4 linked regions of the Schizosaccharomyces pombe genome follow. The gene in region 3 interacts genetically with the main gene of each other region. Each region holds a gene or a part of one and is shown on either strand. Other genes may lie near its edges.

Evidence for each region.
Region 1: mutations in pan5 (region 3) and ubp2 together harm fitness more than expected from each alone (negative genetic interaction), as found in Schizosaccharomyces pombe (one large-scale study listed by BioGRID).
Region 2: mutations in pan5 (region 3) and sep1 together harm fitness more than expected from each alone (negative genetic interaction), as found in Schizosaccharomyces pombe (one large-scale study listed by BioGRID).
Region 4: mutations in pan5 (region 3) and msa1 together harm fitness less than expected from each alone (positive genetic interaction), as found in Schizosaccharomyces pombe (one large-scale study listed by BioGRID).

What each region holds. Positions count from the first base shown.
Region 1 is NC_003424.3:3,485,326-3,491,712, reverse strand, and holds ubp2 (ubiquitin hydrolase Ubp2), read right to left. Parts: upstream 4,520-6,387; 5' UTR 4,389-4,519; coding exon 1,029-4,388; intron 945-1,028; coding exon 879-944; 3' UTR 614-878; downstream 1-613. Other genes in the region: bsd1 (heavy metal ion homeostasis protein), read left to right, coding at 1-130; hrb1 (RNA-binding and mRNA export factor), read right to left, coding at 5,211-5,657, 5,739-6,131, 6,230-6,331, 6,371-6,387.
Region 2 is NC_003423.3:3,132,720-3,138,245, forward strand, and holds sep1 (DNA-binding forkhead transcription factor Sep1), read right to left. Parts: upstream 3,386-5,526; 5' UTR 2,768-3,385; coding exon 776-2,767; 3' UTR 501-775; downstream 1-500. Other genes in the region: DNA-directed RNA polymerase I complex large subunit Nuc1, read left to right, coding at 1-249; dss4 (guanyl-nucleotide exchange factor), read left to right, coding at 4,887-5,189. UniProt on the Schizosaccharomyces pombe protein: Required for promoter sequence element PCB-driven, M-phase-specific transcription. Acts as a transcriptional activator with a role in the regulation of mitosis. Regulates septation and the periodic transcription of cdc15.
Region 3 is NC_003423.3:4,477,941-4,482,088, forward strand, and holds pan5 (2-dehydropantoate 2-reductase), read right to left. Parts: upstream 2,225-4,148; 5' UTR 2,223-2,224; coding exon 1,170-2,222; 3' UTR 747-1,169; downstream 1-746.
Region 4 is NC_003424.3:2,317,908-2,324,776, forward strand, and holds msa1 (RNA-binding protein Msa1), read right to left. Parts: upstream 4,919-6,869; 5' UTR 2,333-4,918; coding exon 731-2,332; 3' UTR 585-730; downstream 1-584. Other genes in the region: mix17 (CHCH domain-containing protein), read right to left, coding at 6,738-6,869. UniProt on the Schizosaccharomyces pombe protein: Negative regulator of sexual differentiation. Acts by repressing the transcription of meiosis-inducing, ste11-regulated genes.

The sequences.
Region 1 (6,387 bases), on a different chromosome or scaffold from region 3:
TATTCTCATTATAATCGGGTGGTGCTTGGTACTAGTAGACACCTTTGGGTTCATCAGAATACGCCGTATGAAGAATGCCATTAGTCGGACAGACTCACCTGGTGAAACGTCTCCGGAAGAAGTGGTTTAGTCACGATCTATAGGTTCTTTTAGTTGCGGCCGTATACTTTACAAAATAATCGGCTCCTTACTTTTTCGTTTATGTGTTAAGATTTTATTTCCCTTATAGTTTTCATTTTTTCTTTAAACATGTTCTCTTTTTCTATTTCGGTTTATGGGCGGATGATCCTTGTTTTAAATACCTAGTTTATTAGTTAATCTTGCCCTACCTGATTTTTTTTACGACGCATCATTTTACTTTTCGCTCTCTTTGATGAATAACTTGGCACATTCACGGCACTGTTGATGTATTTTTGTACAAAGCTCGTTCAAATTACCTTAAAACCTGCTATTGATTCTACAGCTACTTTTATGTTTTTTCCATGGTACTTCTATAGTGATTTATTGACTTATTTATTGGAAACTTCTACTAGTTTCATCTATTAATTACATTTTTTGTCAAAGATTACTACTTATAATAAAATTTGCGATAATCGCCATTTTAATAATAAAAGCCGTTTGTTTACATTTCAATTTTTTTGCTAGACTTTTTGCAATTTTGTCATAGAAAAATTTTCTCTTTATAGTAAAGACTAATAGATTATTAACCCGTACCGATGTATAAAGTATAACTAAATTTTTATGTATAAATAGATTTTTGAAATATGAATTCATAGCTTCCATGCTTTAATATCGTGAAAAACGTTACAACTTCCAACCTCCATTCATAGCAATTGATCACGGATGATCCATCCTAGTTTTTACCCTTCACATAGTTTTTAAAGCAGAAGATTGTGTTCACGGTGAACACATTCAATTATGTGTCGATACTCTTTCCTAATGTACTAGATAAATGTTAGCTATATGTAAACTGGAAAAAATTTGAGAAAATGATTATTTCCCTCAAATGGGAAATAATAACGACTTACCGTAAGCATGTAAGGGTTAGCATTGTTGCCCGTAGTATCAGCAAAAATTTCGCTTTCATCTACCACAGTAACATATTCATCATTATATTTTCGATACACATTGTTTTCGAAATCATGAATGTAAGTCCAATAATGACCGAATGAAGCCTGTCCACGATGCACAAATACAGCAAGCAAGTCGTAGCTATGGCTGATGTAATTATCGAAAAGATGCGTCCTTTCTTCTTTTAAGCTGGCTTCCTGTTTTTTAAGCATATCCACTTCAGCGACAACATTGTTTATTTCCTCTTGAAGGATATCAGGAAGTTTTGGATTAATAGGAAGTCTCGAATCCTGCTGCTGTGCAGCCCATTTAGATAGAATAGACAATGTATCAACAGATGACATTAGATTCGAATTTGTAGTTAACAATAGCTGTTGTCGTTTTTGAAGGTTGATAATTTCACGCTTTAGATCCCAGTACCTTTGTAGTAAAGGTGCCATTTTCCCATCAGTATCTTCAACATATCTGTCCATGGAAAGTTCTTTTCCAAATTCAACAAATGCATTAGACTTGAAAGGCTGTCCAGTAGTCCTGTCAAATTGGACACGCTGTATTTGTAATTGCAAAATTATCGGTAGCTCAGTAATACACAAGGATCGTTGGGCAGTTTCGCTTCCCATATCAATATTGACTGTTTCAAAAACACCATCCAATGCATCATACAATGTTTGTTTCTCCTCGAAAAGGTCAACGATCAAGTGAGAAAAAATCTCATAGTTAGACCGTACTCCTTGACTAGCATCATTTAGTGTTTGTTTTAGTTTGCCAGAAAACAAACGTCGTATAAGATCATTATCAGAGCCAAGACGATCTTCTGAGTTGGAAATACGACCAAGTGAAGCTTCCAGTTGAAACAAAACGTGATCAATACATTCCAAGACATCTTGTTGACGACCTAAATCCATGGAGGAGTTTATTTCTTCTTCAGATACTTCAAAGTAATGAGGTTGTGTTTGAGACTCTCCGTTAGTATTGGCCATGGGAAAATCAATTAAATTAACTGATGAAGATTGTTCCGCTGGACTTTTGGCCTCATCCTGTCCTTGTTCTTGTTCAAGCCCTTGAGCTTGCTCTTCTGCTCTGGGGTCAATAGTGATAGATCTCTCATTCAAATTGCTCAACTCTCGAGACGATGACAAATCCATAACCGAGGATGTTCCAGATTTGACCTGGTCCAACGTAAGAGGTATTAAAGCAAGATATGTCAGTACTGAAGAAGGATGAACAGACGATGACTTTGAAGTAATGAGTTCAATAAATAATTTTCGGAGTTCATAAGTGAATTGTAAAGCCCTCAAGAATTCAATTCGAGTAACAATCCGTCCACCAACTTTCTTGACAGCTTCCTTGTTTTCAATCATATTAAGATCTTTGTTTTCATCAATATCCAAAATTGCATTACGAAGAGGTTTTATAATAAAGTAGTATTGGATCAGGGAATTCAAATAACAAAGATTACCAGTATTTTCCAAACCGATCGGAGTATCCAAACTTGAAACTTCTGGTGGAATATCTAGATTTCCATGTTCTAAATAATGAGTGATTAAACGCGAATTCCTAACTTCTCCTATACATTTCAAAGCTGCTCTCAAAGTGTCTGATTGCTCTGGGTGGTCTTCAACAGCAAAGCCGTATACATTGATTAAAACGTCATCTGATAGTGCACGATCTTGAACACCTAATGTGTTGTAAGCTAGATCTTCATCCATAGGCACTTCTTTAGGCTTCTTGTTGGAAGGTCTACCTTGTGAAGCCAAGAAATCGTACAAAATGGAGCTATTTCTCTCTTCAGCTATCCATTTGACGGCCTCGATGGCTTTGTCGCTATCATCTTCAAATTTCACTAAGGCCACAGAAGCTACCATGGCGTCCTCGGTGTTAGACTTAATGCCCAACCATTGGTAGGCTTCATTAACCGTATAAAAAGCCTGTTCTGTAGACAAAACATAATTTAAAATTTCAGAACTCTTTCTTGCATAGCCAATAGTCTCCAAATCGTTCCTAATAGCTCTGGCAAATTCAGGTTTTCTTAGGAGGGCAGAATGAAACGCCTCAAAGATTTTTTCTTGACTATACCTGTAATCCGGGCCTACCTCAGCTTCAAGTCCTAAACTCGAATAAGCGGCTTGTATTACATCGCTCGACACGATTCCATTTTTCCTATCTGCCGCAATTAGATCTCTCAAAAAGCTGCTTTTACGTAAATTGTATATATGAGCAAGCGCATCCGCATAAACACGAACATTAGCTTCATCGTTCTTTTTTTGTTCCTCATAGAAATAACGGACAAAGCTGTCTGGATAATCATTCGTGATACCCAAGGCTATAAAAGCAGGATCATCAGGTAAGGAGGCCGAATTGTCGCGAAAAACTGTGGTATACATGGGAACCACGCTATCATAGTTAGGAACGCCAAAGGCATTAATTAAAGCAGGTCGAGCCAACCTAACGGGAAAAGGGTTAGCAACAATAGCCGGATCTTCTTTAGTGTCACGAAAGTGATTAGCCAAAACAATAAGTTCATTCCTAGCAAGGTATAGATTAAGTTTTTGTTCGTCAGTAAGGGGAGCGTCCGCAATGGTAGGGACATAATTTACATTTTCGTGGTGATATTCAAACAGAAGAGATTTCATCAAAGATTGAATTTGGCGGCCCTTTCCGACATGTCTCTCAAAAGTTCCTTCCGGGGCAGCGCTAATGGCACGTTGATCGTTATGGACCAACACGTTTCGTAAAAACAACTCCAAAGAAGTAAATGTAGTAAAAAGAGAAGGTTGGGATGAATGGGATGACCCTTGATGAGATGACGATTTTTTAGTTAAAAGGGAAGCAAATGATGGACGTCGGGAATCAATTATCTCTTTGATACAATTAGCATCAAGATAGCTATCTCTCCATTCAACTTCAATTTCACTTTTTGTTGTTTTGCTACTCCATTTCATACAAGTAGAGGTAGTAGCGAATTCACTTTTCGTAGGGCTAGTCACATGAGGTTCAGGTAATTCCTCTTCTTCGTAGTAAACAGGAATCCTATCTTTTATTCCATAATTTTCTTCAGGCTCTTCAATTAATGGCTTCCCCCTGTCTCTTCGGACTTTCACATGTAAGTGTTTGCGAGTTTTTTGACAAACACACCAAAAGTCATTCTCGTCAAATACAGCGGACTCGCCTAAATTTGAATGAAGCTGCCAGTGATATCTTGAGCTATGAGGACTCCAAGGATCATTCCATCCAGCTGATGGACTATCAAAGACGTCTAAATCTTGAATCAACCGATTAGGACTTTTGCCAATTCGCAAGTTCTTTACAGTTGCCATTCCTCTTTATAGTTTGATGTAAATAATTTTAATAAAGAAATTTAAATTTTTTATTATGAAAAATACTTGAAAAAACGTCCAAACGGAAAGAACGTACAGATTGAAGGATTTTTCATGAGTAAAGGACTCGGTAGGTAGACTTCATGCGTATGATGCTTGTCGTCTTACATATGCCAGCCAGGTATGCGACCATCAATTTTATGAATGTGGGGAATAAGATAGAAGTAAATGTTTGTATTTCATTGATAAGGCTACTAAAGAAGGTAAGAAACAATCAACACCTACATTTCGCTATACGAAATTTACCATTATGCTTAAATAAGATTTTTAACCTAAATACACCTTACTTTAAAAATAATGTAGTTAATCAATAAAGATTAAACTTGGTTAACTGGAAGTTAACAGAATGGAAGTCTAAAAATCTAAAATATCATTAAAACCATGAAATGGTTAGCAATTGTAAAAGAAGGAAACTAGGCATCCTGTAAAAAAACAGTAAAGCTAAAATTAAAAAGACTTCAATTAGAAGAACGAGAGACGAATATATATGCCATCAGCATACTTTGGTGTGTCACGGAAAAGAATAAGATCTTAGCAAAAAATTGAAATCAAACAAAAGAGATAAATCTATAAACATGGAAAATAAGAATATTTGGGGATTAGGAATTAAAGCAAAAATTTGAAGAAAAAATAGAGAAAAGCAAACAATATTAGGATAACTGCCTTAGAACATTGCGCATGTCGTCACTGAGCTAGCCATTCACACTACGGAAATGTGCTTAATTGTAAAGAGAAAAGAAGTTCAGATGTATTGGCGAATTTTTAAGAAGGCTCCAAAGAATGTTCAATATTATTTTCGGGTAAAGCTACAGAAATAGGAGCAATAGCGGGCATGTTTGCAACGGGCATTGAAATCGGTAGATAGCCTAAGAAAGAATTTGTAAAAGATTGGGGCGTTAGTGGTGAATTCGTTGTAGGGATATGCATAACAGGTGGTGTATAAGCGACTGAAGGAAGACCCGAGAGCACAGTAGGGACAGCAGGTAGTGGAGTCGCATAGTGAGCGTATGATAATTGCAAGGGTCTCCCGCCATAACGATAACCATTTAATTTTTCAATTGAGGATGCTGCATCATTTTCATTCTCAAATTGAACGACACCGAAACCTTTAGATCGGCCAGTGGGCTCATAGGCGATTCGGGCACGAATGACTGAGCCAATATCTGTGAATAGGTCCAATAAATTGCGATCTGAGGTGGCCCAAGGTAACTATATTCAGTCAGTAATCTCCAAAAAAAACTTAAAATGATGCGGAAAACTAATCCCACAAAAGCGTCCTTATATACATACATTTCCAACGTAAATGCAATCCGAGCAGGGTCCATGGGGATACGCATGATAAACTAAATCCTCGACTTGAGTATTAGCACCTAACATGGGTAGATAGGTGGATGATGTAGTCATTTGCATTTCCGCTGGAAACGTATAGCCATTTCCATGAGTGGAATACGGCTTACTTTTATGATGTGCAAACCGATCTAGGCGAACTTCTAAAGTGCGGCCCATGAAATCAGTGTTATGCAACATTTGAATGGCATGCATGGCTTCTTTCATCGAACTCATGACAACAATCCCAATGCCACGGGATCGGCCTTCTTGGTTCATTTGGATATCAGCTCGGATAACAGAACCAGCTTGTCTAAACAAATCCTTTAAATCTTGCCAGCGAACGTTATACGGTAACTATACTCGTTAGTACCATTTCTTATTTGCAATTCCACAATTCATTAAAATACCAAAGTTCGAGGAAAAGAATATAGAGGATTAGAAATTGAACTTACGTTACCAACAAACAATTGCCTGTCTGGCTCAGAATCTTTGCCATTCGACGACGCGCTAGGCGATACTGAAGAGGAGCCAAATCTTGCATTTTGTTCTCGATCCTTTACGAAGGTTAATAAGCGACATAAAAAAAATCTTACTTCACGGATATAAACAA
Region 2 (5,526 bases), 1.3 Mb from region 3:
ATTGCAGATTATATGACTTTCGAGGGAGGATACAAAGCCTTCAATAGAATGGGAATAGAATATAACACTTCTCCATTTGCGAAAATGTCTTTTGAGACCACTTGTCACTTTTTGACTGAGGCCGCCCTCCGTGGTGATGTTGATGACTTATCCAATCCTTCATCTCGGTTAGTCGTTGGTCGAGTCGGTAACTTTGGCACCGGTTCTTTTGACATATTCACCCCTGTAGTCGATTCTCCTGCAAACTAAAAAAGGTATATTTATTGCGGTTGGGGAATAATTTTAGAAAAATGTGTGTTTTGACAAAATAAAAGATTTTGGAAATTAAACCTTTATTGGCTACTTGTTACAAAAATATATAAAATAAATAAATTGGGTTTTGGAACTAATACTTGTCATATAAGTTTTAGATAGGTTACCACAAATAAAATTACGTTTAATCTACAACTCTTACATAACACAAGAGATAAACTTCTAAACGCTATAAGCGTATACTATGTTTACGAAATATTCATAAAGCTTTATATTGCTAATGTGACTATTAGATATGCAACTGGGAGAACAATTCGCCGGATATAAATTAAAAGCTTTCGTAAATTTAAAAAAATTGCGCACGCAAATGAACAAGTAACATCGGGGGTTTGAAAGTTTATTAAGCAACCAAGGTAAAAGATATGTGTAAAATTAGGAATTCCCATAGCAGTCTTTAACTAGAACGAAGAAATATCACATTAAATAAAGCATGGATAAAAAGTAGATAAGTGCTAAAACAAATTTAGAATAGTGTTGAAGTTTGACGAAGAAGTGGCATTTTCCTCTTGGTAGGAGAAGGCAAGTAAGTATCATCTTGCGCGGCTGAAGAATGAATAGTAGTTGCTGAAGAAATATATTTTCTACGCACCTCACGTTTAACAGGAGACACTTTTCGATTGCTATTAAAGTCGGAAAAGTGATTTTCAAAACTCAACATATCCATGGGATCCAAAAAATCATCTTCAAAGGTATCAAACGACTTGCTCATGGGTAGCTTGCTTGGTGTTTCTAAGCCGGCAACGGAACTAATGTTATTGGTAAAATAAGATAATGATCCTCCATCAAGTAAGCTATCACCTTTAGGACTTTCAGATAGCGTTACTTGTTTAGATGCATCTCCATTACGTAGAATTGAAGACTTCAAAGGCGTGACTGACCAAAACTCTGCATCAGATGATGTTAAAGATGATAATTGCTTTGCATCAGGTGTAGCCAGCATTTGCAAGATACGAGTTCGATGCTCCTTCAAATTTGTATTCGGACTTGCTGAGATACCACTCATATCAGAACGGATGGGTGAAAGTAAAGAAAACTTAGTGTAGTCATCAGCCACGATGTCATCACGAAAGCAAAACAATTTAGGACACAAGGCCTTCGGGGGGGTTGGAAAATCAATAGAATTTGATCGCTTTAGCAAAAGTCCACTGGGATTTTTTATGGTAGGCGAGCTAGGTAAAGAAGGTAAACGGACTGCAGGGATCTGTAGGGTATTAGTTGTACCATCTTTTAAACCTTTCTTGCCGAGATTCGTTACAGTGTCATTAAAACCCAACACGGAATCATGAACTGAAGGGGTTTCAACATCCTTCTCCAAATGTGATACAGGTGGACCTTCTACTGGTGCATCATCTTTATTCAAACCCAATGATTTAGCTGACTTTATTCCCAAAGATTCATTCCTAAGTGATTCAGATGGAGAAGCACTGGATGCTGGTGATGACAAAGGAGGAGATGGAGAATTTGTACATGATTGTAAAGGAGAAGTTACAGATACGACAGAGGAAACACCCAAATCGGAAAACTTAGCTTCCAAATCAGAAGGTGCATCGATACCAGGGGTATCTACATAGGGTTGTTGACTATGAAGAGGATGAAAATTTGTGGCATTAACATTAGAGATCGTCGGAATGTTCGTTAAGGATGCAGTATAATAATTCTGAAGATATTGATGTCGCTGATTAAATATATGGGGAGAAGTATTAAACGTGTTAAATCCAGAGGAACCGGTAGAAGATCCATATTTTGTAGAGGAGGTAACGTCTTGAACAGGAGGCGCTGGTCTTGAATTTACTCCTGGTTTACGCAGCTTTAGTTTTAGAAATTGTTCTTCATGACCAGGACGAATGCTCCAAAAATGACCCTTCCCCGGTAAATTTCTAGGACGTTCAATTTTCATGAATGCCTTATTTAGACTTAAATTATGGCGGATGGAATTTTGCCAACCGTTATTGGACTTATTATAGAAAGAAAAAGTATTGCTGATCCAATCATATATAGCACTTAAAGTGAGACGACGATCGGGAGAACGGATTATTGACATTCCAATTAACATAGCATAGGAATAAGGAGGTTTCTTTCCATCATCTAGGGGTAAGAAAAACTCCTCCGGTTCTTGAGACTGAGAAGAAGATACAGAAGGGTTTCGATATATAATAGTATCCAAAGATTGCTCCGAAGGAGGAGGTATGGGAAGAGGAGGAACAGAATAAGTCAATCTAGTATAAGAAGGTATATATGGTCGAGTGGCTTTTGAAGAAGGTTTTTGAAAAGATGCAATGTTATTTTCTTTTCCGCCTGCAACTACGCCCTTCAACTTTGAAGCAACCTTGGGATAAGGTGGTAAAGATTGCAAAGGAATTTCCTGATAAGCAATTGGGAGTTCAGAGTACTTAGAAGCATTGTTAAGGTTTTTTTCATGAGTAAAATAATAAGGGTTAGTAGAATTAAAATTCATGAGGAAGATGTTCAGACAAATTGAATAATAAAACAAAAATTAAAGCACCGTTAGATAATGGCAATGCCAATAATAATAATGATTAAAAGAGAAAACCAATTAAGGGAAAATAATAGTAATAGTGAATACTACTATACTCCGGACTTACACAAACATAGATTGTCAGTATGCGGACCAAAAAGAATGAAGTATTTTGCAAAATTCAAAGATTTGAAAAGAATTAATAATAATAGTACTCAAAGGACAAAAAAAAAATTGTCCGACCTTGGATTCTCGCACTAGTGTTACGACAAGGCACGATTCCGAAGCACAAAAAAAAGAAAGAAAGAAAGTGTGGTGCTCTAAATTCACAATCCTTTACAACCAAAAATAAAGTCTTAAGTCTAAGACAGAAATAATTATAGAAATAGGTATTACAGTATAGGAAGCAAAAGATACAAACTCAATACTGGATGCTGTCAGAAACGAGAGAAATGCACAACGAGATACTAATATTGCATAAAAATATTAAGATTTGTAATAGTGATACACAATCGTGTCAAATATCCTTTCGTATCAAATGCTCCGAATTGCTCCAATTTTGGACGTTTGCCAAAATATGAGTGTACGAGATGAGATAGAAATCTCCACCTCGTGAAAGCGGATCCTCTATTTTAGTGACAATATGTCATAGAGCCGAAAAATCGATTACGATGTTGGGTTGTGAGTATTTTACTAACAGTAATAAGGGTATACGTTATGATACGTTAAGCTGCCAATTATCCTCCTTCATTAAGTATGCCCTTAATTTGACACATTTCTGGTTCCATAGTATTAACCATACAGTAAAACGTTGTTTTATTTTTTGAGGTCCTATAATTAGAAATTTAAATGAAATGAGGCACTAGTTTCAGTTATGAAATATTTTTTTAGTGAATAGCTATAATATTATCTTCATACTAAAATATTTAATAACGTCGGATGTTCATGCAACTTAAATATTGCTATAAAGAGAGTATAAGTTGAAGTTGAGCTTAGTCTAATCATATCAGTTAGTGGTTGACAAATTTTAGGTGATTAATACATTTGGTTAAGAATCAATAGCATGCGTTATATTTTTTGTATTATTTCAACAATAACAATAACGATGATTGATAAATTGACTTGGCTTAGAAACTCATTTAGTTAATAAAATAATAATATTTCAATATTTGGAAGCTAATAATATTCTTTGTCACATAACTGAATCGAGAAGTTCACGGAGCTAATCAAGAATACTTCTTTTTATTAAGGATTTAGACAAAGTAATCATAGTAGCAATAATTCGAGCAAAAATAGCGTAGTTCTATAGATTTCAATTAAAATATTAGACAATTGAAGGGATGGCACACGATTCCTACACATTTACATTGAAAATTGCAAGTGCCAAGCTAATTTCCCAATTTTGCAGTCTGCACACATTCAAAGTTTGATTACAATATTTCTTTCAATGCCGTACTTCTAAAATTTTAGTTACTAGAAGAAAGTTCAAAAACCACTGTGTACAAAGTTTTAGTATGTGTCAAGGTTGCAACACGGAAAGCAAATTGAGTAGAAAGAAAAAGGTTCTGTATTTAACATAGAAGGATAGAAGAATTATGTGTCCGAATTTCTAAATTTGAAAATAACTACTATATGAACCAATGCATCAGGCGAACTGATATGTCTCGTTTAACATTAAGAGAAAGACAATATTCAAGAACACATTAGACGAGCAAATAAAAATTTTTTGCGTTTTCTTTTATAATAACTTACTAATTATGTGGTGAAGTTTAAATATAGTGAAAACCAGGCCATGTTAATTTATGAAACCAAATAGCATGTCAAAAAAAAAGAAGTTTTCAGCGTCTAATTATTGATTTGCTTCTATCGTCAAAATGCAAAACATTGTTTTCCATATCTTCATTGCACTAGACACGTCAGTACCTATTTTGGAAATGAATGCTACATGTATTGAATTAAATTTGAAGAACTTGTAATTAGCATTTAAACTTTTAAAAGTTTTCTCTTGTATTTTTATTTTTTTAATAGGTTATATCCACAAAAAACGCTGATTGGCGCTTACTACTAACTAACTACCACCATATTGTTTTCCTAAATTATGTCGAATTTGCGAATTGTTTGTCAACATTGCCCTTCAGTCGTATTTAATAACAAACGTCCAGATGTTGTTAAGAGGCCAACAATGTCAGCTATGCTGCATTCTGAAACACAAGAAGATCTAGAAACTGACGATTTTTTTCTTCTAAAAGATCCGTTTGCTTTCGACAACGTTAGCGTATCAAAACCCTTAGCAAATAATTATAAATTACTTGCTTGTGCTGATTGTGAAAAAGGTCCGTTGGGCTACTATGATTCTAAGAACAATGAATATTTATTGCTGTGCTCATTGGAGAAAAACTAAGCTTAATAATAAGTTTATCAAACAACTGTGCTATTTATCTTGGTTATAGCATATTTTTGTAAACGTTACTTATTTGATATGGAATGGTCTTTTCCATGTGTCTTTTTATTCTTTATATTTTTTTAGAAGACTTGCAACATGGCCTTACAAAAGACAGGTATGTTGTGGTTTCATATTGAATAGTAACCACGAAATTAGGTATATTTAAATGGAATTATAATGTTTGTTTCTTATTAAAAAGTTCTTTTGTAGCTTACACCTTTGTTGTGATTAGATTTTAATCTTATCGGGTATTAAATGAAATTAACCTTGACTAAACAAAATATACCTTACGATT
Region 3 (4,148 bases):
TTAAACATTAATGTTCCCTTTTAGGAAATCTTGTGTAGCTATAAAATTCTTATCAGATAGTTATTAAGATGACAGTAAAATCTATGTTTCATAATTTAAATTTTATACCGCTGGATTATGAACAAGACATATGTATATAAAATGGCTTTAAAATTAATATTAAAACAGTAATCCATGACAAGCTTATTGGTTTTTTACTTACAGTGTTATTACAGAGGACTAGTGTCGAGGTCATTTACCATTCATTTTTTAACAACACTTCGGCAATTGTATTTTTTTTTTTTTAAATATAAGCATTTTTATTATGTTGTTTTACGTCGGTTTTCATGGGTTCAAACGCAGTGTAATTTTCCCGTTACAGCAAAGTTAATGAATTTAAGAAGATGATAACTTGATTGTTGAGAGAACGATAACTACTTACTAAATTGCATAATTGACTAATATATAATTAAGCAGCTAGAATATTACTTCCTTGGGTTTCGCAATAACTCAGGTGGTAGCGATTGATGTAGAAAATCGTTTAGCTTTTATAGTTTATTTTATTTTATTTTCGTATAACTTGTTGTAGTTTTATTTTCTATCTGAAAGATTCATATCTTTCCAGCTCCTAATGTTCGTAAATGCTGTTTCTTAAAGCTCAGACTGTTTACCATTGAACAATAAGTAGATTGGTTACTGCTAATAAATGAAAGCTTAAATTATGCAATTTGTACAATTAAGTATAGTCACACTACAAAAGGTGTATCCTCATTTCCGAATATGTGCTGGTGTATTGCAATTAATTGTATATATGACATCTTACTAACTTACCACCCATGCTTGAGAGTATAGCTTATGAACCCTATGATAACAATTGCTCCGTTTGTAAACTGAATCGTATATTGGAAAACATACAAAAGTTCTTTGAACTGATACAAACTAAATGGTTCAGAGAGCGTAAATAGTGTTGAATTAATCTTAACCATATGGTTTGATAATGACTACTGAACAATTGATTGTGATAATATAAAATTCCATCTGTAAATCAAAACTTTTAGTTTAATAAACAGTATGCATTCATTGCAACCTTGGTACAAACGAAATAATGTCAATGGACCGAAGATTTATACGAATTATTAGGTTCGACCAGAATACTAGTCATAAAGCTTGCACCTAATAAGTATGATAAATTATCGTGCATGCGCTCGACATCTATTTAAACCCAATCGAGACTTAGTAAGCAACATCATTGTTTTATTAACAGTCGCTTGAAATCCATTATTCTCAGCTAACTTGACAACATAACCATTTATAGCATCAATCTCTGTCTCTCTTAGAAGAAGACAATCTTGCCTGGTAGATGAACTGTTGGCACCATTTACTTTTGTTCCAACAAACATCACACGATCTAATAGTCGATTCACGTTTAAAATTTTTTCAGCTTCCTCATTGTTTTTAAAAAGAGGAATACACTTGAAAAATATGTCCACACATTCTTTTATTATACAACGAAAAAGCTCCTTGGCAGATTCATCATTGTAGAGCTCCCCATTAACACAATCCAAAGTTGCAGTTGTTGGATTAATACAGGCATTTATTACAAGCTTTTCGCACTGGTTAACTAAAAGCTCTGGGTAATTCATATAACGTAATCGTAGAAGTTCTGATTTGCCTAATGACTTTATCATTTCGCATGGCGTTTCAGCTGCTTCATCAGGTAAAATCTTCTTGGGATTCTTTGGGACTTTGGATATTTTTAAATCCCCTAAACCTGCGTGACTGAAATGGAACGGGGCTGTTTGAAAACACCCATGTGAGATTACTCCTTGATATATGGAAGGCTTATTTTGTTCTTCCGGCCACAACTTGCCACAAACATTTTCGACTGCCCCCATACCGTTTTGTACAAACAGTATGTTCGAGTTTTTACTTAAATATGGTAAATATTTTGATAAAGCGTTTTCTGTTTGCCCCGCTTTAGTTGTTACGATCATATTTTCTATCGATTGCACATTCAATTGGGAGGGTTCTGATGCAGTAACTTGGCAACACAGATGAGGCACATTTTCTTCAAACAAGCGGTCAATCTTCAAGGTTGAATTTTTATCCTTGAATGAGTTGACTCTCGATTTGTCTCTTAATAATAATATCACCCGATTATTTATTGATTTTAAACTAGCTAATTCATATGCTAACAGACTACCGATACTACCTGCTCCCAAAATATAAATTGTGTTATTCATTTGAAGTAAATGAAATAACGATCAACTTCATATCAAACGTTAGCAGGACACTGAATCGTGACTGTCCTTATCAAAATAATTAGTGCTGTAGCAAGCAGCGTTAAAGACTGCATAATAATATCATCTTATCGAGTTTATTCATGGAATGTTCATCCTCTTATGTTTTACTAACATGAATTTACATCATCCTTTTTTTTAGAAGATATTTCGCATATTTCTAGCTGTTAACAAATTTTAAATGCATTATGTTTCGATACATTGAAGTAAAAGGAAGAATTGAGGGTCCTTGAAATTTAGTTTAAATCAAATTGATACCAAACCATATACTCAAGTATTTAAATGTATTGTAAATAATAATTCTGTCTCTCTAAATATGACAGGAATCCATACTTCACAGTTTCGTGTTTTCTTCACAGAACATACCAAATATCCAGCGGTTCAAGATAAATTTCTCAAATATATATATGTACTCGCAAAATGACACTGCAATAGATTAGTATGGATAGGGTTGAAAACAAAAAACTTGCGATGTTAACCCTCCTGCTACTATACGGTGTTTTAATTTTGTATTATCCTATGACTGAATAATGAATTTTCTCAATGAACTTTAAACTCAGAGGATTTTATAAGAATTAGATATTCCGGTCATTACTGTATTTTTCTATGAAATATTAGCAGTTAAAACACCCAAGCTTCGACAAAGGAACATTGTATCGAAAGACTGACTAAGCGAATCGTTAGATTTTGTAACTTTCATCATTCACTCATTTTGAAGCAAGTATATTCATAGTCAAGCAATCCACTATGGCGTAAGTGTAACCTATAATTTATAGGTTTGCTATTAGATTTTTACAGCATGGTTATAATTTTACAATCAAATTATCAGCAAACAACTATTATCTACGTACTAAGGTCTATTATCGCAACACATTGACTACGTTATGCTGTTCGTTACAACCAAGTGTAATCAGTTTAACGTTAGGTTACACTGGGTTGACTTAAAACTTGTATGTAATCTTGTAAGCAAGCGATAAGCAGGATGTATAAATTAAAAAAAAATTATAGGAATTTTTTTGTAACTCATGTTTGCAATAGCCAATAACTAAATTAAGTACGAGGTTCAGTTATAGTCCGATTTCTAACTTTCTAGTAGTTGTTACCAACTGGCACCTATGTAAACGAATGGATTTGGTTAGGCAATTATCAACGAACGGATTTTAGCTGATATACTAACAGATGACTATAGTTGGTTTCCGAAAGTAATGTAGCATTGTTAGCATAGTGGTATTTTGTCAGCAATATTACACTACGCTATGATATTTTACGATGGTATCACTATTGTAAGCTACGCAGTTTGGTATCTGATTAAGGATCCGTAGAACTGCGGAGAGTTTTCCTTGTGATCTATTATATTACAATACACAGGTTGATGAGTAGCAACTGAGTATAGGTATTGTATTAACTGGGTTATAATGTTACCTATCACTAATATAGCTCATAACCGAACTGAGGAACGAGGTTCAGTTGTAACGCTATTTATAATATTTCTAAATAGTTGTTATCAACGGGTATTTATTTATATAGACGGATAGTTTCCCGTGATTATCAATAAACGGATCTTAGCTAGTATTCCAACATATGACATATAGTGATGCGCAACGTAGTGTAGTATTGCTGACAACTATTCATACGTTAAGATACTACTTAAGATTCGTTATTGATAAACGCTGATAAACTATCTGTGTATCTACATAGATACACGTTAATAGTAAGCATTAGAAAGATTATAAATAGAGCTACAACTAAACCTCGTCCCTAAGTTCAGTCATTAGCAATATCGGTGTACAATAATACTAATAGACTTTTTATAACAATAAATATTACATTGTTATTTAAAGATACCGCATATATTGTAGTTCGCAAGAG
Region 4 (6,869 bases), on a different chromosome or scaffold from region 3:
CAAGAATATATAGCAAACGAAATTGGGAGATGTATAAAGAATCAGTATAGCAAGGAAACGTATACCCCGTATATAATAGTCCCTTGTAAACTTATGCTTGTCCTGTCTTTATAATTTTTTTCTTTTTCTGGTTCTTTACCTCACGAACCTTTTTTTGTATTTAGTGTCTATAAGGAATATTTATATGAAACTAGTGTTTTGAGAAAGTCTAAAGCTATGAAATAGAGGTCTGTTAAAAAAAAAACTAATTTTCTTTTTTCAGTTCGCCAGTAAGCCAAAATAAAAAGTTCACGTAATATTACAGCCTCAAATTAAAAATTTCATAAAATGAATTGACTTTATATAGTATTTTTGTAAAAATTTATGTAGTGAAAATAATCAAATGGTTAGAGTGTATACGATACATGTGTGAGAACATCTATATTTGGGAGCATATATAAATAAACTTCTATCTAATATCATTATATCGTTAATGCGTAAAGTAGAGAACTGTTACGAGTTACACTAATTCGTAAAATTATATAGAAGACATATATATGAACATAATAACATTTATGACTCTAAATCTTTTAAATATAATTGCAGCCAATTTGCATCTTTTAAGTAAAATAAATTAGATAATTATTAGTGTTTTATAGAATATGTACCTAATAAAAAAAACTCCGACACTTAAGGACTGTATAAAGAAGTGAAACCTCAATCAGATAATGAAGGGAAATTCAAAATAAATCTAATTCCCATCCATAGGTGGGTTATGCGTATAATACATCGGACTGTACGATTGAGGCATAGCCATTTCTGGAGAATAAATGGGATAGTACGACTGAGGAATTGATGTGGGAACGGCACCAGGAGGAAGGGTAGCCATTGACTGGTGAAATGTTGAAAACTGATCCATGGGTGCAGGGATTGGCATCATTGCATTACGAGGTGGTGAAAATGGCGCTGGAAACATCGGATATGGATAGGAGGGATATTGATATTGAGGGGAAAATTGCTGCATTGGTCTTAGTTGACGAAATTCAACACGCAAAGGCTTTTTCTGGTGTGGGGACCTCGTCTTACCGCAGACGGCAGCATAAGCGGCTTGTTGAGAATCAAACCTTAGAAAAGCAAAAGCAGGCTTCTTGCTTTGATGAATTATTTTACAATCGATTACCTTTCCATATTTGGAAAATAGATCAACTAGTAAGTAGTGTGTGCAATTTACTGGGTCGAGTTGGCCAACGAATATAGAATAAGGATCAATCGGTGGAGGCATTGCAGCAAACATCATAGAGGGGTTCATGGGATATCCAGGCTGTTCAAAAGAACCATCTGTTGGGAGTTCGGCCTTGCCGCTTTCTAAAGAGGGTATTGAAGGTAATATACTCGGTAAGGAGCTTAAAGATTCATTAGGAGTACTGAATTCAGTAGAATTGACCAATGAGTGAGCAAAGTATGAGGGACTTTGAACCGCGGAATTTGATCTTCCCATGGTAGAAGGAGGATCGGAAGAAACTGAGAATGGAATAGGGGCAGGTGCTTTGATAACAGGAGTGTTCGACTGATCTTTGCCTTGCGACTTTCGCCTTCGACTATGTGCGTTAGGTGGAGAAAACGGGGAGGAACCTTTCTTCTTATAGTGACCGTTTTGATATGTCACATTTTCCGCCCAAAGTACAGGCCAGGCAGAATGCTTAAGCGCGGTATAGGCTGCGATTGCTTCATCCCTGTAAACAAACCGTACTAAGAAAGCGGATTGATCTGGTATTTCCGTGACATCTTCAACCTCGCCATAAGGTTCCAATAAGTTATCTATGTCTTTTTTTGTAATGTAAGGTTGATGGGGTGCAGAGGATATACGGATTGTCCTATTAACTTTGGCGCGCTCTATACGTATATGACGGCCATCCAATATCGTGTTTTGGGCTTCAGAAAGTGCTTTCGATGCATCATCAGTATTTTGAAATTGAACAAAAGAATAAGGCCTTTGCAACCAATCTTTCAAAACTTTGACATGCAACAAAGGACCCCACTGTTGAAAGTAATCTTTAACAGTGGCAGTCAGCTCTTCCTCAGACCTTGAAGAGTTTAAGCTAGCAACAAATAAACAGGCAACTGGTTTTCCACGGACAGACGACGGATTTAATACTCCACTGGAAGAGGAACTTGGGATAGGGGTGCTTGATGATGCAGTTTCCAAAGGAGGCTTTATAAAGGTAGTGGAATTATCATTTTCGGATAAAGAACCTGGGGGAATGTCTTGTAAAAGCGTTGTTTTTTCGAGTTGGGCTGATAATTTTTCGACAGGAGAATGCAATAAAGATACAGACGGAGAGGAAACAACCATTTTTAAATAATGTGTTTAAAAAAAAAGTTTGGAATGAGAAAGGATCTATAAAGGGGCATGAAACAAGGATGCCGGATTGATATCAAATTAAAAAGACAAAACTTTATACGAGATGCCTGCGCCAAAGTGGGATGGAGGTCGTATCAGTCGATTATATGGAATACAATAGATAGTTATGAGATGATGTGTCAACAGCAATCCAAAAGCTGCGTAGAAAAAAGAATGAAAAGTATTTCAACTGAAAAAGTTAAAAGTTAATTAATTTAAAATTTCCTTCAAAACAAAGTTTAAAAAAAACCCCAGAGAAAAAATTTGGTCAAAAGAAAAGATAAATAAAATTGATCAAAGAAGGGATAGGAAAAAACGAATGGGAAAACTTTTACTCAGGTAATAAAATTGCAGAAATAGGGAAAGAAAAAAACGCAAGCGTATGGTAATTTAGTGCAAAAATGCAAAGATAAAATAGAGATTATACACGTATAAATAAGAAAGAAATGGAATGGCTCTTAAAAATGACGAGTCAAAAGAAAGAAAGAAAGAAAGGATGAAGATTTTGAGAAACCAGCTGAAACAGAAATGGAAAATGAAAAACCAAAACCAGAGATAGACAGTAGGTAAACCAAACGAGACTTTGCAGTCTAACAATAGTCTAAGGAAAGCCCAAAGAATAAATATATATTTGAGTGGGGGAAACGAGTATTTCCAGAATAAGAGTCAGATGATGAGAAAAGTAAAATGGGGAATAGAAATAGCTTGCACGGTGATCAGACCGTGAAAGAAATTTCACAAAGATGAAATTTCAGTTTTTGGGTGATGGATAGAGAGAACTCTTCTCAAGTGGAAGCTAAAAAATAATTGGATAAGCTTGAGGGAGTAGCAAGTTCGAATTGAAAAAGGTGAAAGAATCAAAGAGCAGTACAATTGCAGTTGAATATCTCGAAAAGCTGAACACAGAGAAAGTTTGAGGTGAAAAAGAAAACAAATAAAAATAAAGAAGCCAGTAAACGCAACAAAAGGTGCAAGAGGAGAGCGAAGGAAAGCTCAATGGCACAGACAGAATCAGATGAGAAGAGAAGGTAAACGCAGTCTCACTAGTATTTCAAGCAATGTGGAGGTATTCGATAGATAACAAAAGAAAAGGAAAAAAAGAAAAAATGGGTGATCAGAAATGCAACAAAACTGATAAAGACAGGATGGAAGACGGGGAGACGTCTCAGCAAAAAGGAAGCAACCCACACAAAGAGAAATTGAATTTAGTATGTTAATGGAGAAAGGAGAGAATCGAAAACCCTCGAATAGCAATTGATTTAGGTGAAAGCAAAGAAGGGGGTTATTCACGACGAAGGTTTAGATCTGCTCGGAATATACGAGGAAAAGACATTGTATATCAAGACTACTTGCAAACTCGGGGATTTCAACACGTGTTCTTCATCGGTAATGTAGGCGGCATAAAAGAGGACAAGGGACATTAGGGAGCAAAACCAGACGATATGATTAACTAAAGGAGCAATACATCCGAATCCTGCTTACACTCTAATAATTAGTCAAACGACCAAGACGCTGCCTCAAATCCTCAATCTTTTAGTAATTTTACCGTTCTATTTGGGCCATATCATTTTACTAAATTCTAGCCATTCTCCTTTACCACGATTGATAGGCAATTGTCCATTCGGAAGTATATCACTACTGCCAACATTTCCCTCTCCACAATGTCTTAGATAGTGGGTTACAGGGAGTATAAGGAACAAGCTAGTATTGACAAATGATGAGACATTGAGAATTGGGCACAGGGTAATGGGCTAAAAATTGGGTGCTGCACCGAAGCATCCTTTGGTTGTGAAGATAAGCAACTACAAATTTTAGGAGTAAGTTAACAACGGCCCCATGGAGATAGAAAAAGGAAGAATGCTAAAAGTCGTGAACAAAGGCGTAATCGTCAAAGAAAGGTAAATTGCAAGCACAATGAAAAAGATGATTTTTTACAATAGGATCCAATAAAGCGAAAAAAAAAACAAATAAATAACTAAAGAAAAATAAATTGAATTTTGATTAGTATACAAAAAAAAAATTAAGCACAATCTAGATGAGCAACAAAGAAAAAAAGGGAGACCTTTAAAAGAACAAGGTGAATATGTTATATTACTGTCTGGATTAATGACTGACAAAGACAGAATACGCAAGCTATAGCCAAGCTAAGAAACGAAAAAAAAAAGAAAAGAAAAAAACAAAACAAAACAAAGGTAGTTAGTTTGTCAAGCTATGAATAAACTATTTTCGTCGTATTTTCTTGAGCGTTCTATAGACTGTTTATTCAACAAAGCAAAGCAATAGTATAATACTAGTAGTAAAAGGAGTAACAATAGGAAAAGCCAGCTTAGCGTGTACCGAGGTTTTCTCAAAAAAAAAAAAAAAAAAAAAAAAAGGAATCGCTTGCTGAGATATCGAACTCTACCCCTTGAATCTAACATTCACATGACCTTTTGTTTCTTTGTTTGTCCCCATTTCTAGATGTGTTTTTACCTTGGAATAAAGTCTCGGTATTCTAACTCCGATTGCCTATCTCTAACACTTTGTAGTGGGATGTGCAGGGAGCAAGCTAAATGCACGCACTCTGATGGAGTGAGTTCTGGATAAGTGACAGCTGAGTATAACGATAAACATCGTCGTACAGTTTAGCTTCCCTTTGAAACAAAAATTTTAAGTATGTGTAATGGTGCTTATTTATCGAGGAAAAGGGTGAATCTATAATAAAGAATGGATCGTTGGAATGTAGAAAGTAGTCGATACTTGAAAGTGAAAACAGATGTTGAAAAAATTAGTCGATGTTTAAATGTTTAAAAATAATAATAATAATACTAATACTAATTTTAATTCTTGTATTTTGCTAGTTAAACTAGAAAACTGCCAACGAAATACAAGCATACATACATATCTATATCTATATCTATATATAGATATAGCTATGTTCCTTTCCAGACACCAGTAGACTCGGTCTATATCGCCAGCATTTCTTAGACTAGGATTAGAATGGGATAAAAATATGAAAAAGGGAATGCTGAGGAAGGATGAATAAGAGTCGTTATATGTTTTTCTTTACTGTTTACTTTTTCTTTTTTTCTTCTTCTTTTCTAGCTCGCCTTTGGCCCAAATTAAGCTCATTAACCTGATGCTGTCAGATATGACTTGACACTCTCTGTGATACTACATATGCAGACAATTTCTGGACGAAACATTAAATTTTCCGATCTTCAATCAACGTTCCGAAATGGTCTACAGAAAGAGTAACAACAAATTGTATGTAGCGTTGGATATGAAAATGCACTGCGTGGCATAGCATACAATACTCTTACAAATGCGCTTGGCAAAGACGATTCAATTTAAGATTGCTGTTATGCTTACAGTATAAACCAAAGCAGCAAGAATGGAATCCCCGTCCCGTAAATTTTTTTTTCTTGGTAATACGTTAAAAGTATAACTTGGCAGACATGTCGAAACCGATCATTTGTAAATCAGCTTCTCTTAACTATCTCTAGTGGATGCAATAGTATGTTAAACTAACAAACACGAGTACATTTGAAAGACTCATAAACCAAATTCGATGATGATCCTTTTGTTGATAAACCGTTTTATGGTGGATCTTTGGCGTATCCTATCCCTTACTCTTCTTTCAGATATGAAACAAAGTAAATAATAGCCGAGGCAACCATCTATAAATCATCATTGTTTAGCTGCTTCCCCCCCCTAACATGGGACGTAAGACAATGAAAGTTTAATTTGCTTTTAATTTTCGTTTTGAAAAAAGTTTGTTAGATATGGTTCGCTTCCAACCTTCCTACTTTAATAAACAAGTCGGAACTCCAGCTAGCATAAAATCTGTGGGAGAACTCTCAAAATGCTTTGAAGAGTGACTGTATCGATTGATTGATTGATTGATGGGGTGAACTAGGTAGCTGTATGAACTGAACCATCCCTACTATTAAGAGGTATGAAAACGTACGCATGTTAAGAGAAGCTCTAACTACATTACCATACTGTTATGTACTACTCTTCTCCAAGCCAGATCATAGAACTTTCTAAAGAGCATAGATTTCATTTAATTTATTTATCAAGCTTTCTAACTACGTTCTTCGTGAACTTTTTTATTACTGGGCCATTTTAAAAAAAAAGAACTTCATTACTAAACCAAACAAAAAAAATACCATATATGATTTATTTCTTCTCGTTCTTATACTATGTCTTATACCAGGGAAACCAGTTATTATTTACTGCTTAACAAATGCTATTAGGGTTCAACGTTCTCGTTAGTAGAAACATGAAAAAAAAAATTTCGATGCTGATGCTGATGCAAACAAACTGGGCATAACTTTTATTTAATAGAAAAATAAATAAATTAGTTCATTGCCTCTTATTGTTGGTTGGACCACATGGCCTGACAAGCCTTTAGCTGTTCCAAATAGTAAGAACATTGACTGAACTCATGCTCATTTATACAATCTGCAAACATTTTAGCATCGCCCTTGCAAGCATTCTTCGCCTC